Nothobranchius furzeri: one gene and its partners. The protein of the gene in region 2 purifies or fractionates together with the protein of the main gene of each other region. This does not show direct contact. Links are inferred from orthologs where the notes say so. Each region holds a gene or a part of one and is shown on either strand. Other genes may lie near its edges.

Region 1 (3,755 bases), on a different chromosome or scaffold from region 2:
ATTATCCCACAAAGTCTTCTTAGAAAAATATAACATTAATACTTCACAAGAAGAGTATAACATGGTAATTAAATCCATCTATGTTTGTATTTTCTATTTAACACAGACCATACAATCAAACATCATCTTATCTGCAACAGCCAGACCTCCAACTATTTCTGGGATTCCAATCACAGATAAGAAATTTAATAATTCTGTTATTAGAAAAGTAATTGATCCTGTCTCAACCCCGATATGTAAACACTGATGGACTTTTATGAATACAAAACTCTGGAACAGGATCTTTCTGCTACCTCACCAATATGTTATTGTGAATAAGATAAAAGAAATTTGATTCAAAATTGTTCATAGATATTACCCGTCAAAAGCAAACATCTGTATTTTTTTCCAAATGTTTCTGACATATGTACTTTCTGTGGTTGTAAGGGAGAAACTATTGAACATGTTTTTGTTGATTGCTTTCATGTAACTTTGTTTTGGTTCCATTTAAAAAGATACATTTCCAAAAAGTTACAAAAAAAATATTTCTTTAAGCAAATATGAAATACTTCTTATTGTTACTAACCCTCATTTATCATCCAATGAAAAATACATAATTAACTTAGTCATTATTTTAGCAAAATATTATTTACATAAAATGATTTTTCAGAAAAGTATCCCCTTCTATAATTTCAGAATTACAGACCTTATGAAATATTGGAACAGCATTGAAAAATTAAAAATGAAGAACAACAAACTAACAAAGACCATCAACTTATTTCATCATTTCAACTTAGACACAGCAGACCCCTAAGTGTTATGTTTCTAAGTTATATATGTTTTCGTCAGTTTTTTTTATTTCTTGGTTTTTTGTTTAATAGTTTCCTAATGTTGCATGTATATTATTGCAATTCTAAACAACTGTAAAATGTGATCCATGGATTTATTGAATGTGTTTTCTGAATAAAACCTGTAAAAAAAATTAATAAATTAAAAAAACACCACGGACCAGGAAGTAGGTTTGGCTCTCTGACCTATGATTGGAGGCCGTGATAAAATGGGTGGGACGCTGCATTGTGATTGGTTGAGCTGTTGAAGTAGCATCCTGGTATTGGTTGTTAGGGTGTGTTGGTCTGTGAGGTCTTAGCGCTAATGCAATATAGCATCAACCTAACGGAGGACGAGTCATCTACGCCCATGTATCGATTTCAATACATTAGTAAGCAAATTACAGCATGATGCCTTGTTTTAATGTAGAATTTCGTCTTTGTTTTAATTGACCACGCTCTGCGTGTCCAGTTTACGAGCAGTTTTTACTGTAAAAAGACGAAAGTAGACAAGTTCGCCACCGTTAGCCTAAAACGAAGGTTTAGCTTCTCCGTTCTACCAACACAACGCTAGCTGAGCTAAACAGATACGACGGTTTGTTGAAGTGTTCCGTTCCTTATTGTTATTGATTAATTATGGGGTTAATTTAAAGGCGTTTAAACAGCAAACTGGTCTGTTCGCTAACTCGGTGTTCGGACATTTGTTTACATTTACATTTAGTTTAACTGCTTAGCGGTGATAAATAAGTGATAATCTGACTTGATTGGACCTTTGAGCTCATTACTGAAATAATCAAACGTCATTCATACGCGTGACAGAGTCAAAAAGGGAAACGAGTTTAAATCTTTAGACCCTTAAAACTTACTTAAACCATTATGTCGTTAAGCCAAATCGTTCAATAATGCAATGTTTATTGTTCCATTTTCTTTTGCAGTTCCAGTTTAACGTGTCAGGAAGCTCCTAACAGTCGCAAACATGTACGGAAAAGCGGAGTTCCGCCCGGTTCACATGGACTTCAGCTTTCTCATCCAGTCCTGCAGCTCAAACATCCAGAAGATCACACAGAACAGTAAGAGGTTTCTCCTGTTCCTCGCGCTTCAGCCTGGTGGGAAATCACATGCCACATGGTCACGTGATGACCATGTGAATGAGCTTTATAGCCTGTTTGTTATCCCCACGGTATTATCCACTGATCATCATCTCTCCAGGGTCGCACTTCAGTCTTTTTGGCTTCTTTAATGTTATTTCTTCAGAGGTGTGAACAGCAGGTCTCTTGATGAATGATCAGTTTCTCGTTTTACAACAAAATTATTTAATAATAAGGGGGGAGTGAGTATGTAACAGGGTGTGGTGTCACTTAATTATTATTAACAATTACTAATAATTATGAGGGGAATTTTTTTTTGTGTTGTTACTGATGTCTGTTGTCCCTCTGGAGTGCTGCAGGAGTACACACAGGGATTTATGGGGGTTGGATGAGGATAATGAAAGAAAGAAAGTAAATCAGTGTTTTGTGAACTGTTTAATTTGACATAAACATGGCAAACATGCTTTCTTGTCATTGTGTGTGAAAAACAGTGTAGAAATAAAAACAAACGACATGTGTTAATAGAGAAATAGCTGGCAAGCCGTGCTGACGCATGACGCATGCGCCGTGAGCGGTTTTGGTACTTTTTGGGTTGCAGCCACTCGCAGCGCTGCTTCAACCCTCACGAGGGACGAGCAAAATATCAAACATGCCAGAAATCAGTGCGAGCTCACGATTGCTGATAGGTAGCTGGTCACGTGGTGTTAATTGCCTCTCGTAACCACCTGTATACTACACGACGCTCTGCACAAAACTTGCCCCGATCTTGTAGATTCTCGCACGAGGGGAAAATCGGCTCAAAAAAGTGAAAGAGTCGCACAGTGCCCGCCTGGCTTAAAGGAACAAATATGATTTTGTAGTTCAAACAACAATGCTAAATATGTTAATTTACATTTGAGAACATTACCTCATGTCCAGTTGAAACTGGTATTGTTTAATGAGTATTGTATTGGTTTTCTCAATGACAGGAAATTGAAACATTGATATAATTTGCTTTTCGTTAAGACAAAATCGATATCGGCAAGTCAGGTTTTTCTCAAGATCGGTGATTGGCCAAAAACTGCAATCGGTGCACCCCTACTTCTCACTTTTTGCAGGAAAACCTAAGTGATATAAAGCTGATTTCTGTGTTTTAGTTCCGTCAGCGGGCTAGCATGTCCAGCTTTTCTGAGAAAGTACGACTTGAAAATGGAATACTTCCTGAGACCAAATCCATTCATCCCGTTCCATCAGCCATTGTGGGCATAAAAAATAAGTAACATCAAAAGTATTAATGTGCATGGCTCACAAGAATGTGTTTTGCTAGCGACACTTGGTAGAGATAGCTTCTCTCAGACCGTCGGACCAATCGGAGGACAAAAAACCCCTGATGTCACCGTGAGCCAACTACCTGGCTCAGCGATGTGATTCTGAAAGCTCACTGGTTAAAAAAACCAGATCCCATAGTAGAGGTTAACCAATGTTGGATTTTCTATTACTGATGCCGATAAGCAGAGCTAATGGTCAGCTGATGGCCGATATCTAGACATCAGTTGATACACAAAATTTCTGAAGCTAAATCAGTTTTTGAACTTGTAATTTAACCAACTGTTAAACCTTAATTTTGTGCACGGCTCAGTGTTAAAATCAGACATCTAACTCAAGTGAATCAAACAAAATTATTTGTTATGCAGAAGTTACTCAGGAACATAACTCTGCAGCAGCACCAGGCTGCCTGAGGATGTGCCTGACTTTAAATCTGCTTTACTAAGGAGATACTGTATATTGGCATTGGGCGATAAATCACTCTACCACTACTATATGGTATAACTAACAAAGGCCCGTTCTACTGATTCTGAACGCTTTGGGCAGATTGGACTCT
Region 2 (3,755 bases):
TTTCACGTATCTATTTTATGTTGTACATAGATGCTGTCATGTTATTCACTAAGCTGTTGGTTTTGGCTGTTGTATTGACGAGACTGTAATCCTCAACGAGAATATGTATCTTGTTCAATTATAAATAAAGAACATGGCGACTGAATGGGGAGTTCGCTGCGGCTCTTTCCTCTGTTCTAGATGACTTTGGCACGTCTTTAAAACAACAAGTAGAAGCACTAAAAGCCTTACTTCTAAGAAAGATGGCGCTGTCGCCAGACGCCATTTTTGACTACAGCTAAAAAACTACTGCATTGCGCGGTACTGTCTGCATTTCTGTCTTTTTTGTGATTGGTGATTTTTGAGCTTCCTAGTCCCGCCCCTCAAGTGCCTCTCTGCCTGTGAGGAACCAGACACTCTCTGCAGGATTAAACAGGACCAGTCTGGCAGGCCAGGCTAAAACCTATGAGGAAAACACACACACAGCACTCACTTATGAGTGTTATTGTCTTGTTTAAAAGCTGAACCACTTTCTATGTAACAACTATTATTACATTATAATAGTTTAGCACAGATGTCTGCTGTGGTGAATAAAAAGTATTTATTTAAAACTTAGGCCTACTGCTAATGTGAATTTGTTATGTTTGAATTGCTCTTATTTTTGCAGACGTTTGTTTAGTTGAGCATCGGATTAAATCACAATCCAACTCTCACCACTGACTCACAAATCAGCAAAGCTTCAGACAAATAAACGGATGAATAAATATTCTATGTGCCCTTGAAAGGTAATTACACTCAGTTTATCAACAGCAGACACAATACAGGAGTACATCTTCTAAATAAAAGCATAGATGTTTCACAATAAAACAAACGATGGCCCAGGTTCATAACAAAATGTATAAACGCAGAAGTAAAAATAGGAAGAGCATTAAATAATTAAATAAATAAAATAATACACAGTTTAAAAAACTTAATTAAAATCCAAGTGATTTGGTTAACACGTTTTATCTCCTGTTTTAAATTATGAAACAAATGTAGTACCGTTTTATTTTATTTAACTTTTCTAACGTAATGCTTGTAAATGTTAATAAACTTACTTTAAACCGTTTAATGAGCTTCACGTTTATCGCTTTAATGAAACCGGATGTGGGTTTGAGCTGAAAACTCGAAGCGAAGGAATTCAGAGTGAAGAGAAAAAAACAGGAAGTGAAACCAAGGAGGAGCGAGTGAGAGAGAGAGAGAGAGAGAGAGAGACACCTGTAGGAGCGTCAAACTTTTAGGTTTTACATCATTTTAAAGGTTTTAAACTAAAGAACCGTGTCTGTGGGTCTTCTGAAGGAGGATCTAGTTTCTGACAGGATGGACGCGGACCCGGTAGGTGATGTTTTTCTTGTTTTGTTGCAGCGACTCCATAACGAGGCGCCATGTAAGGAGCAGGTGTGTTTGTTCAGGTCACATGAAGAAAATGAATAATGTTTGAGTTGAGGGGACACCTGTAACTTACGACCCTGTTTTCCCTGAACAATGGCGTCCACTCGGAAGCTGCTCTGCGGTCCTGCTGTTGGACATTTACTTAAGTTAATGTTTGAAAGTGTGAAGTCGGTGTTTAAATGAGCGTTTTAAACGCTGTTGCAGCTTAAAGCTGTTTGTTAGCTCAAACTTAGCTAGCTAACTTAGCTCAGAGATGCTGTAGCATCTTGTTCCTGCTGGCTGGAGAGGTCAGAGGATCAGATACTTCAGAAGGTGGAAATAATTTGTTTTGGACTGAAACCTTGGTCTGTCCACATACGTTTGGTGTGTTTTCTAAGCAGGCGTGCAAACAACAGATGTAAAAGTAATGTTGTTGCTATTTAAGATAAACTGATCTGTATCATCTTATTTTTTCAGGGCATCATCATTGAGGCACTTGGATTCAATTTCTGTAGTTTTGAACCACTTTAGGACACAAACAAATGTTTTTTTATTCTGGTCAGCTGGATATCTAACGGTGGTTTTTGACTGTTAAATGTTTGTGACCAAGTGAGAAAAGCTTTGCATGCAAATCTGAAGCAGGACTGATCCTCTGCTGCTGCTGGGAACAGAGGTGTTTCAGTCTTTATAATAGAGACAGAACAGATTAAAGCTGAAAGATCAGGATTTACACTCCATTCAAATCTCACATGTGCTCACAGATTAAGGGAATTTCACATTTGACTAGTTAAAGAGTCGGCATTTTAAATGGCTCACTGAGGATATAGGTTACATTTATTTTGCAATCAAATGAAAGTTTTCCTTTAAATTTACCTTTTAAATCATAGAGACCACATCTGTGCCAGCTTTGTAGTTGCCTGCTATCTAATTTTATTTCCTCTTAATCAGGTTTTACTGGAAGACCCAAGTTCGTCTTCATCTGCTTCCTCTCCAGCACATGCTGAGCTCTTTTAAATGAATCCTACCATCTTTATGCAGATGGCATCCAACTGTACATCTCCTTTAAGAACCATGAGATGTCTAAGCTACAGCTGTTAGTGTTTCCCCTAGGGATTTTTCCAGCTGTGGTGGTGGGGGGGGTAATGACACGACTCACCTTTATGTTAATATTGTTTTATTTGATGCACTCCACTTTGAACTACACCAGTACAGCAACTGCTGCATTTTAATGACTAGTATTGAAGGTGAATACCTCTTATTTATTATTGGAAATCCTTACTTTGGTTAAATAAATCAGTTGTTGAACCCCCCACTCCTCTGTTTGGTCTCCTTTCTTATTACAGCCCACCACTTCCAGTCTGGGTTGTAACAATCTGCAGACAGATTTCTGAGCATCTCCTCCTTTGGTACACAGATCCTCACTGAGCCATGTACTGTGAACAAATAGTTTCTCCGTGATATTATCCAGCAAGATCTTGTTTTTGTCAAAACAAGGGTGAGGTAATGAAAAAATAGAAATATTTCAATAAATTAACATTAAAATTATTTATATGCATAATTAAAAAAAAACATGTTTTGAAATATATAAAGTGCACCAAACTTGACTCAGTCCATTCAACAATTCTAAATGGACAATTATGTAACTCATCAATTAATTATTTGAAAGGATAATTTGTCAATTAAATGCTGAAAAAAATAAACAATACATTAATGAGGCAAGAACTTTTTAAACTTGGACATACCTACACCCACAAGTCTATTTTTACCTGGTTAAAACCATCTAGCTTATGTGCACTTTTTAAAACACTGCCCAGCAAACATTCGGACGTTTAATGACAGTTGAACGGTCACAACTGTAAAATAATATCACAGGAATTAGGAAAGAATAACATGACATCAACTCTATGTCCCTTGGCCGGACTCGAACCTGGATCCTCCAGAGTGAGAGTCACCCGCTCTCCCAGCTGAGCCATGACAGCAACTGCTGAATCTCAGATTTTTTTATACAGATAGCTAGAGAGTAAAGTGCGGAGTAAACTAACCAATCAGAGGACAGGGAAGATCTGCCACAGGCCACGCCTCCAGAGTGCCAAAACTCCTCACAGCCGAGCGAGCGGAATTAGAAACCGAGCGCGCAGAGGCTGCCGAGCGCGCAGAGAGGCTGCCGCGCGCGCACGTTTTCCTCTGCCGTGTGCTCGTTGGCAACGCGCGCACGCAGGTTTGTCACTTGTGCACATCCTTGTGCGCTCACAGACACAGTTTGCTCCCTCTCAGTGCACAAATGACCTCTCGCCATGTATATTTTCGCTCGCGAGTCCCGTTCACACGCGCACTGTGGACCCAATGCGCGTGCACGGGTTGTGGCA
Region 3 (3,755 bases), on a different chromosome or scaffold from region 2:
TTTTGTGGTTTAAAGCGTAAAGCTTGGGAATTACACAGCAGATTCATTGCTAGAGGCTCAGATTTCAGAGCATCGCTTAGAAGCTCTATGGAGAAAAATGTATCTGGCGTTCTGTCTTCATGTAAAATATGGGGGGGGGGGGGGGTCTGGGTGAAGGGTAAATGCTGCACTCATGTGGGGAACTTGAGCAGTGCTCTTTTTTTCTCCTCTCTGGAGTCCTATGACAGCACCATCCTGTGCTGCATTCAAGTACTCGTCGTTTTGGTTTTAGATCACCCAAAGCACAAGAAACATAACTACCAAAAGTTTTACACAGTCTGGTTAAATACAGTGTTTGTTCCTATAAATAAACGAATTTAATATGATTTTCATTCCTCTTTTTAAAGAGCTAAAACTAAATACCTTCAGATATAAACAAGCTATTAAAAAACAAATATGACTGAATTTTGATGTAGTGAAAATAATGTGAAATTTTTGAACGCAAAAAAGATTTATAATTATCACAGTTAGCTTCTGAACTATTTTAAACGTGTTTTTATTACTTTTAAGAACTTCTGAAGCGTCTCACCTTGAAGAAAGCTATATTTCCGAGGGTACATGAATGCACCAACCGACATACTTTCAAGTCCCCAGACGACGAACTCAGTGGAGGAATTCTGGTCAAACCAGTGCCAAGTTTACATACCGTGGCGAAAGGAGGAGTTGCGAGTTCGGTCTTTTCACAAGGAAGGTTAACAGTAAGTATTAACAGACCTGATAAGTATCTCTTAACGTTGTCCTCCCATCAAAGTTTGGGTGTTGTCGTTAGGGGGTTGACAGGGAAGCGGAACTAACAAAACTAGCAAGCTAACAGCACGTTAGCTAGGTGAACAAGTTGCCCAGAGGATCTATTTCCTTTATTAGAGCTGGGGAGCTACTGCAACTTTTTGGACAATGTAAGAAAACTTCATAAAGTTTTATTTTTCCTCTGTTTAAACTTATTTATGACGTTTTGATTATTGTTAAGGGCATAACTTTTGCTAACGTGGGTGTGTTATTTTCAGGCTCAGGTGTTTTGGTTAATATGTCTCTTTCAGCTGAACATCACCTGTTTCTCAGGTGATACTTTCTTGTCATGTGAGTGCACTGTTTTACAATATTTGACTTTTGTATTGCTCTTTTCGACATAACCTTTTGTCATGGCAAAGGAGTGGAAACAAAGTAGCTCCTATTTTAAATATTGCGGAAATAAATAGCCAGCTGTCAAGTTCACACTCAGTGTTTTGATACTTTTGGATTATTAGCGTCATCTATAAATCTGGAAATAAAAGGTCATGGTTCAGGCAATGGAAATACACCATGATGTCATTGGTCAGCTTGTTTTTGAACACTGGTTCTCGGTTTATTTACCTATTGAAATAAAAACAAATTAAACAAATTTCTTGTAAGGTTTTCTTATAAAGGTAAGCATAAAGTTGACCAGAGAGTAAAAAAAAGGCAATAAAAAATACGAGGTGAACGTGATGAGAATAAGAAAAGACGTCACTTTGTTCAGCATTAGTTTAGATCTGGAGGAACAGGTTTGAGTAGAATAACCAGAAACGCTTTTCTCTGTTGTTTGTCACTTTCTGTTGTTGCTGTGAGGAGTCTACAACATGAGCAGGTATGTCCCTAAAACTTCTGCATAAACCTTTACATGTGCGCCTGTTAATTCAGGTCTCTGGGTTATTTTCATGTCTATATTATAGTCCTCACTAAAACTAGATTATATTAAAAACTTAATTAGATTAAGTATTTTATAAATCCAGCATACCTGCTTGATGTGTGCTTAACCAGTTCCCTAAAAGGAGTTATGCAATATCTACACACGAGTCTGAGTTTTCACGAACATGGCGATCAATAACGTACGCAATACATCAGCTGGACGTTATCATTTGAATTTTCCTACACCTGAAGCATTTTTACCTGAACTTTCTTCTAATTCCTGACTAACTGAGCATGAAAAGTTAATGTTATTTAGAACGCCAACAAACACAGAATCACTGTTAAAATGTGTTACAACTAGAAAATGTTCATTGATTGGATTTACAGCACAAGCAGGTCTACGGGGTGCTCTAAATTCACTGGTTTTAAATTAATTTATAGGAATGCAGACAAATGACCACATTTATTTAAAGGGTAACATCATTAGAGAATCATCCATATTTGCTTTGTTTAATTTTTTGATAATGCAGCTCTGACCTGCTGATACAAATTTTGGCAGTTTGCAATTAACCCCATTTTACAGAATACATCTTTCAAATTTCAGATCAACGGCCAATCAACTGATTTGATTTTGGGGTGCGTCTCTAAACTTACAATCAGCTCAAACTGACCCTATTGACCGGTTACATTTCTGTTGTTTACAGCTCTTGTGTATTGTACGTGTAAATAAATTTAGTGTTGGAGTTGTAAAGTCACACCAGTGCTCTGGGAAGAAAGAAAAAAAACTGTCACGAGTTGTGTGAACCTTCTGCGCTGTGGTCTAATAAAAAAAGAAAACAAAAAATGCAGAGTCAACAACATTAAATCCCCCGAACTATCTGCCAAGTAGACTATACTTTTTCCGTCTCATTTTTTTTCCTGCTTTTAACAGGGAATCTTGAAGTCCAGAGGCCGTTTGCAAAACAGGAAAATGTCACTTGAACTATAAAGGAAAGCGGTCTGACAAGAGCAGAAACAGAAAAGCGGATAGAGCTTTACTTCCTCTATGTTATCAAAAACGTTTGGGTGGGAATAAAAAAACGGGCCGTGTTTATGCCTGTGTCAGAGAGCAGAGGCTTGAGCCTTTTCCTGTGACAAACTAGCTCTCGTGTCATGTGAAAAAGTCTGTTTAAGGCTGCTGCTACACCAGATGTGTCACTCCAGCCTTAAAGATAGTCTCTTTTAAACTGTTGTCATTTTTCTTGTTGTGATCCAAGTTATTAATACCATTTCTGGGCCTGGCCTCAGTGACACAACACCTATCACCTAATGCTAATCATCTGTCTTCATCCTCCATGTTTGCTCAGACTTTATGAAGTCCGTTCATGTTTTTGTTAGATGAAAACTAAATTCAGGGTGCGAAACGTCCGGACGTTGACGGTTCCTGCTGTAGTCACCAGCTTTTGATGACGGTGGCGTTTAAATTCAGATCTGGACAGAGCCTGCTCTGAGCTGTCAGCCAGTGGTTACGGTTATCCTGATTTGCTCAGCAGCTACATGTTGAGTCACCAAACTGGCGTAAGTGTCCAGCCTAAATGGGTTTAGCTGAGATTGCATAATTAACATTTAGACTCATGCATGTTGGACATTTTCTCCACTTCCTAGTGTCGTTGTTTCTAAAACAGAAGAAAACGGGTAAACAAAAAGAATAACTGATGAAATTAAAAGCTCAGAATGCTGAAAATAACCCAAACTGGTGTGCAAAGTTAAACAAACCGAGCAGAAGTCATTAATAATTAACTTATTACTTTGGGAGCCACCAAGAGCGACGCTGCACAGCAGTAATGTGGAAAAACAACCTCATTTTAGAAAGGAAAATAATCACATTGTCAAAATTTTACGACCTGCACATGATTTATTTATTCATATTTGTTTACAAAATCTGATCAGCGACATTAATCAGGCCTGACATTGTGTCTCTGTGGAGTTTAACACATTAAGGAAACAACTTCTTACAGTTTGAGTTTCTTCTTCACTCACACATCTCCCTGTTCGGCCCTGACTGCTTTAAGCTTTACTTTGTGCCGTCAGAA

The links.
Region 1: the proteins of vamp8 (region 2) and stx12 purify together in Homo sapiens (affinity purification with mass spectrometry; 3 studies listed by BioGRID and IntAct, counting the BioPlex papers as one, with this or other methods). This does not show direct contact. The link is inferred for Nothobranchius furzeri from reciprocal best matches to the Homo sapiens genes VAMP8 and STX12.
Region 3: the proteins of vamp8 (region 2) and synaptosomal-associated protein 23 purify together in Homo sapiens (affinity purification with western blotting; 3 studies listed by BioGRID and IntAct, with this or other methods). This does not show direct contact. The link is inferred for Nothobranchius furzeri from reciprocal best matches to the Homo sapiens genes VAMP8 and SNAP23.

The regions. Positions count from the first base shown.
Region 1 is NC_091751.1:25,527,741-25,531,495, reverse strand, and holds the start of stx12 (syntaxin-12), read left to right. Parts: upstream 1-1,076; 5' UTR 1,077-1,198; intron 1,199-1,273; exon of another isoform or gene 1,274-1,401; intron 1,402-1,741; 5' UTR 1,742-1,782; coding exon 1,783-1,876; intron 1,877-3,755. UniProt on the Homo sapiens protein: SNARE promoting fusion of transport vesicles with target membranes. Together with SNARE STX6, promotes movement of vesicles from endosomes to the cell membrane, and may therefore function in the endocytic recycling pathway.
Region 2 is NC_091757.1:27,703,479-27,707,233, forward strand, and holds the start of vamp8 (vesicle-associated membrane protein 8), read left to right. Parts: upstream 1-1,152; 5' UTR 1,153-1,338; coding exon 1,339-1,353; intron 1,354-3,755. UniProt on the Homo sapiens protein: SNAREs, soluble N-ethylmaleimide-sensitive factor-attachment protein receptors, are essential proteins for fusion of cellular membranes.
Region 3 is NC_091758.1:23,386,078-23,389,832, forward strand, and holds the start of synaptosomal-associated protein 23, read left to right. Parts: upstream 1-1,415; 5' UTR 1,416-1,634; coding exon 1,635-1,642; intron 1,643-3,755. UniProt on the Homo sapiens protein: Essential component of the high affinity receptor for the general membrane fusion machinery and an important regulator of transport vesicle docking and fusion.